Linked DNA regions of Mus musculus: region 2 is reported to be linked to region 1. Evidence: microRNA targets listed by miRTarBase, many of them from high-throughput screens and not tested one by one. Region 1 holds a microRNA gene; the other region holds the end of a gene's coding sequence.
The links. Region 1 holds the annotated microRNA mmu-miR-653-5p (GUGUUGAAACAAUCUCUACUG, at 2,338-2,358, shown strand). A microRNA usually pairs through its seed, bases 2 to 8, with sites in the 3' UTR of a target mRNA and lowers its output. Matches are read on the target gene's strand: a 7mer-m8 pairs with bases 2 to 8, a 7mer-A1 pairs with bases 2 to 7 and ends in A, and an 8mer does both.

Region 2: the mRNA of Adsl is a reported target of mmu-miR-653-5p. Seed matches in the 3' UTR shown: 7mer-A1 at 547-553.

What each region holds. Positions count from the first base shown.
Region 1 is chr6:3,720,181-3,723,712 of GRCm38, reverse strand. Mir653 (microRNA 653) reads left to right here and starts at 2,328; the gene lies at 2,328-2,412. It overlaps Calcr (calcitonin receptor), which reads left to right. Exons shown (of 16, transcript NM_001377018.1): 4 at 712-790. It overlaps Mir489 (microRNA 489), which reads left to right and starts at 1,710; the gene lies at 1,710-1,816.
Region 2 is chr15:80,968,395-80,971,394 of GRCm38, forward strand. It overlaps Adsl (adenylosuccinate lyase), which reads left to right. Exons shown (of 13, transcript NM_009634.6): 13 at 268-2,553. The coding sequence ends at 354. Among named protein-coding and RNA genes, the nearest start is that of Sgsm3, 7.9 kb to the right of the region's middle.

The DNA.
Region 1 (3,532 bases):
ATGAAAAGTAGCTACCTAATTTTAAGTTTCATATTTATTGTTACACTTAAGCCTCTTTAAGTAGCTCAGATATAATGCATATGTTGCATATGCCTTATCTGTAGTATGTATATATCAACTGCAATACTTAGATTCTCAGATCAGTTAATTTAAAAATACCAAGATTGTCTTGAAAATCAGTTTTAAATTGATAAATGCTCTGGTGGGAATTTTATTTTGTGTCCTATAGTTTATTTTATCACATAGCACACATGGCTTGCTAAACTTGATGAATAATAATAAATTATACCAATTTTCAAGCTAGTGCTAAAATTGTACCTATATACTGACTGATACCTTAAAAATGTATTTCATTAGCTGATTTCCTTCTTCATACATCTTTCACTTGGCTTTCCATCCCCCATGTTCAAAATAGATCTTGCCATTTTTCTTATAACCTGTATTAAACTGTTTCGTTCAACTTAATACCTTTTAAAGCCAGGAAATCTCACTTTAGCTGATGAAAATGTCAATAGATATGGTCAGAAATTTTAATAGCGCTTTATAGACAACAGCCCACTTGACAAAAGGAACAGTGAAACATGTACATGCAGGTATGTCACAGGCATAATAGTCTTGTTTCCATGCCATTGTATGTAGTGCATCTGGAGAGGGAACAGGGTAAAGATCTGAGAGCTATACCATTTTACATCTTCATTACTCTTTTTCCAGGAAAAGGCGGAATCTCCGCAAACCGAAGATGAGGTTCCTTCTCGTGAACAGGTTCACCCTGCTGCTCCTGCTCCTAGTGGTGAGTGAAGATTGTTCTGTTTCCTGTTAATGGTCATGGAGAGTAGAGAGGAGTGTCTGAGTGTGGGTGAACTGGCAACTGAAAGGAAACCAAAACTGGGCTTCTCCAAACTGTCATTCTTCTTGAAGGATGTGAGAAATGTCCTTTGGATGTTTGCTCATTTTGATTATTGTCATAATTTATCCGAACAATTAAATTCCATTTGTTTGGGGAAGTTCATAATAATTTGTGTCAGATTCATAGTACAGACAGCCTGTATACATTTTTTACATGTTTTTGAAATGTGGATTTGGATTGTGGCTTCTGGGCTCTTCAATGCTTTTAAAACATCTGAACTCTGCCACTCTAGCCCTTGATTTCTCTCCAATGAATTTCTGATCAAAACTAAGAATCTTCAGTACTTTAGGAATCACTGGTATTCTGTAACTCTTTTGTGCCTTTTAAGTTCAGATTCATATTATATAACTTCATGTTTCTTTACTCATAAAGATTTGGCTAGTTAGAGGTGTAATTGCCTTAGAACACTCTATTGGTGTAAATTTGTATCAAAATTATGGACACACCATCACATCACCTTCAACAGTATGGTCTGAATCCATGTCCCTATTACCCATGGATCTGGTGAACCTGATCTAAGTGCAAGAGGACTGCTTACAACACTCTAGAACAGGCTCTCATTATTATGGTACTTTTAGAAACCTCTGGTAACCCAAAAGCAAACTGATTAACTCATATCAAAGTAGGATTGACCCTAGCACAAAGTCATGTCACCTGAGGCCATTTCCTTCTGTACGTCATGATCATTATGAATTAAACCTTCTAGAATGTAAGCCCCATGAGGGCAGAAACCATGCTAGCAAATGTACTGCTGAGTTTTCAGAACCTACAACAGGACCTGGTGACGCCTCATCTGCTGCTAACTGCTGCAGTGGCAGCTTGGTTGTCATATGTGTGATGACACTTTCTAAAGTCTTCCAGAATGACACCACATATATGGCAGCTAAACTGTTACATGGAACAACAAGTAAGATATAGGCTTGTGTGTTGGTTAGTTTTTAAAGACATGTGACATGTTTGTGTGTCATTGTCACCTTTATATAAGCATGGCATTATATATTTGTTGCATCATAAGCTCAATAATAATAAATTAGTCAAATTGCTTCATGTGATGCATATTGCTTGATTGTCTCATGATATCACTGCTGGCTTTAGTTTTTCTTATTACTGTTGAAAATAATGCTATCTCATTAGCAATTTTATTTGCATGAAATTATCAGAAAAGTTTAATTAACAATGTAAAATGTTTATATATAAATTCAATCTTAAGTAGTACTAATTTCATTATTAGAAAAATAATGTATATTTCTATCTGCCTGTCTATCATCTATCTATCCATCCACCCATCTGTAAATGAAGTACTTCAAGGTGCATGTTATTTAGGAAGAAGGTCATTAGAGAGTTCAATGCCCAAGCAAGGACCAGGCTGGAAGCAGCCCAGAATTCTGTGGCTTCTCTGATAACAGAGGTTCTGAGATTTCATTCTTTCAGTGTTGAAACAATCTCTACTGAACCAAGCTCCAAAGCGAGTTCACTGGAGTTTGTTTCAGTATTGCAGGAGTGCTAAGTGTGAAGCTGCCCCAATCAGCTACCAATACCTCCCTCATGTTATCCCCACTCCTACTGATGTTACAATGTGTCAAACCTAATAAAGATGTTGCTGAAAACACAAGTGTAGAGTGTTTCTATTTAGCATCCTTACACATAGTGTTTCCCTCAGGCTCCCATGAATTTCCAGTTGTTACAAGAATATTTCTTAATGAGTTGCCAAAACGTACAGGGATAGAATTTAGAATATGGTTCTGGAAAGATACCTAAGGAAAATAATTCCTAATGTCTAAAACTTGTAGTTAAAAAAAAGAGTAAAAGTGTGTGTGTGTGTGTATGTGTGTGTATACACATACCTCATCCCAGCTTTTAATTTGATTAGAAGACAATGAGCAGGTAGCCCACATATCAAGTGAGCCTGCAAATGGTTTCCAAATAGATAAACTTTGAATAGCTGTCCCACAAGGGCACTGTCATCCTCCCTTCTTTAGTGGTTCAGTCATATTAGTTTAGGCTTTTTAAATACAGTCACATACATTCATACAAATATGAGTAAATTAAGCGTTAAAACACAAACACAAATAAGGGATCTCTTTTACAGAAAAGAATAAGCTGAACAAAAACAAATTCTATCTGAGAATGTCCTGAGGGGAGGTGGTTGATTGTAGTCTCTCCTGTCAGGAGCACGCGTAGTGTGTCTTTCTAAGCTCCACAGGAGCAGGATTCACACCTGTTTGCTTCAGGACTTCATTCTTAGGAATGTTCAGCTTGCCAACGTCAGTAAATTCCTCTCACTGAAAGTCACTGAGAGATGAGTCTTGACAGGGACTTGTGTCTTGTGATGTGGTTAAAGGGGCCACACATGGTTAATTGTTTTATGAGGATCATCAATTTCCCTGATGTCATACATCTATAATGCATTAAATATTAAATAATCAATATTCAAATGGTAGAAGTGTTATAATACTTAGAAGTATCTACCCTCTTCACCGTGTAAACAGTTTCTACCCAGCTAACTTGTGGGCATGTCTAAAACAGGATTCATCTTCCCCTACAAAGATTTTGACTCAATATCCCCTTCCCCCAGGAATCATCCTTTTCAGTAGTATGGACCAAATACCTAGGCCCTTTGGGAAT
Region 2 (3,000 bases), not on the chromosome of region 1:
AGATGAGCCTAGAGCTGAGAGTGGGGGGATGTACGACTTCAATGTGGGTGTCTGGCAGACTTGAGAGGAACTGAAGAGAAGGTGGCCTGCCTCTGCATGATGGTCTTTATGCATGTGCTGGGTTGACGTGTTTCTTTCTGGGAGACATAGCTAACAGCACACGCTCAGCGGAGGAAGCTTTAGCATGCTAGGTCTTGGTGCTGGGAGTGGTTTGAAGAAGGTATTAACATTCCCTTCCTTCGTCTTGTGTTTGCTCTTCCCTGGCAGGTCCACAGATTCCTGGAAGAGGAAGTGCGCCCCCTGCTAAAGCCCTATGGGAATGAGATGGCGGTGAAAGCAGAGCTGTGTCTGTAGAGTAGGAGAGCTGAGGAGAACCCGGTTACAGTGATTAGAGCTTGCTGATTACAGTGTTAGAGTTACTACTGTGTTCTGCGGCACTCCTTTACACACTCAGGAGGCAGAGGCAGGCAGATCTCTGAGTTCAAGGCCAGCCTGGTCTACAAAACAAGTTCCAGGACAGCCAGAGCTACACAGAGAAACCCTGTCTCAACAAACAAACAAACAGAGGCTGGGGACATGGCACTGACTGCTCTTCCAAAGGTCCTGAGTTCAAATCCCAGCAACCACATGGTGGCTCACAACCATCTGTAATGAGATCTGATGCCCTCTTCTGGTGCATGAAGACAGCTACAGTGTATTCATATACATAAAATAAATGAATCTTTAAAAACAAACAAAAAGAATGTACATTAAGTTCTCTTGCTTGGGGTTCACAACAGATAGCCGTGCTTTCTTGTTTTCTCCAGTCTTTTGTTGTTGAGACAGAGTCTCAATGTGTATCATTGGCTGACCTGGAACACAGAAATCTGCCTCATCTCCCCAGTGGCAGGATTAAAGGTGTGCTCCACCATGCCTGGCTGTTTTATATTTTTTACAGCAACATAATCTTGCAGAATAATGTAGCTCATACTTATTTTCCAGATGCCTTGAGTCTACAATGTTTCCTCACTTACAGTGAGATTGTGTCACCATAAGGAAATGAGTTCAGTTCACCTATCAAACATTGTTATGTGCTCATAACACTTGACAGTAACTTCTGGTCCAAGATCCCCTAACAAACTGTATTAGTAATACAGTCAAATGCCTAGTGTTGTTTACTGAGTCCTATGCAGGTACACTTTGCCACACACTAGGCTAGACTCTTCCTGTAGTCCTTTTCAAGTATTTACTTGATTGTAAAGTAGCAAGAAATTCCTGGATTCATGAGTCACATCATCAGATCCCTTGATTTCAATTCTTTCTGCCCAGGTTAAATAATATTTAACCTGACGTTTGTAGCTAAGGATGGATATTGTTGGGTCCCTCAGGTGCCTATTCCATCTTTTACAGAGGTTGCCTTCTCAGGACAATGCTAACTGGGTAAACTGATTGCATTATGGAACCTCCCAGCCTCTTAGCCTTGTTAAGTAGATAGGTAGCTATTTGGACAAGCTAGTCAAAAGGTGAGTTATGAAAAGACCAAGACCAGCCGGAAGAGGAACATTCGCCTTGCCTTGGGCTGTGTATTTTGGTGTGTTGGTGTGTGTGGAATTGAAGGGCTGGCAAGATGGCTCAACTAGTAAGGGCCTGTTGTGTTGGGGGTGGGGGGAATCCACAAACTTGTTCTCTGACCTCCACCAATAATAGTGAAGTGGTTTAAGTGAGCAAAGCTGTTGTGGTAGCACATAACCGCTAGAAGCTGCCCAAGCCTGCCGTGGTCACTTACACTAGGTGGCCCCAACCTTTGCTCCTAGTCCCCCGTCCCCTTCAGAAAGCCCAACTCTTTGGCCACCCCTGCCCGGCCAGAGCTCTGTAGATCTCTGCAGATGAGAGTCTGGTACACAGACCAACATACACAGTTTCAGGGCAGTCCAGAGACTGCCACAAAACAGACATGAAGATTCTGTTGATCAGATTTTTAGTTGACAAGAACTAGGAGAATTAAGCAACTTGGTAACAACTGAGATTTCATCTGGCAAGGATAAATGTAAACAAACCTTAAACTCCGTAGCAGCCAGGAAACATGGTAGTAGTGTCCTGAAAGGTCACCTGATAATATGCCACATTCAGTATTTGTTCAATCTTGATTGGATCCAAAGAGAAACCTCTGACTTTAAGACTCCAGCATCTTTTGAGGTCTTAGTGTATGTGGACTTCTCCATGCTGGCCTTGAAATGTACCTCAGCCTCCAGGGTGTGGAGGTGACAGGTGTGCTGTTTGGTAGACTGATCCAGCAAGAGTGACCTACAACCCCAACCTCTGTCTAGGAAGGAGCTAAAGACAATGTTGTTGTCAGGAGTGTTTGTCTAAGTCTGTGCTCGTAGGTATCCAGAATCTCAACTTGTCTTAATATCCCAGCACTAAGGAGGCTGAGGCAGGAGGATTGCCGTGGAGATAATTCCCACAGACTACATAGTGTACAGATTGAGATAATCAGTGTTTAAAAAAAAAAAAAAATCTGTCTCAGTGGTACCATGCTGACTTGGCCCTCCTTCAGTAAAGGAATCCTGCAGCAAAGCCAGAGGTGCAGAGCATCTGTCAAATGTCAGTGATTGACACTGGGTGTCTTTTACTTTTTTTTTTTTTTTTTTTTTTTTTGGTATTTCAAGAGAGGGTCACTGTGTGGCCCTGGCTGTCCTGGAACTCACTCTAGACCTGGCCTTGAACTCAGATCCACCTGCCTCTGCCTCCCAAGTGCTGGGATTAAGGGCTTCACACTGGGCATCCTCATCCCTTGCCCACCTTGGTTTTGAGACAGTCTCATTGAGCCCAACACCTGTCCTTTCCACTTAGTAGACTCTCTAGTAGGCCTCCAGGATCTCCTGTCTCTATCTTCCTGTGGTCCTGGCATTCCCAAGTTCACACTTCTGTGCCTGGCTCTTTTGTGGTTGCTGAGGGTCAAACTGCAGATCTTTGTACTTGCATAGTGTGGGGGTCTCTGCAAACACCATGGCCAACAGT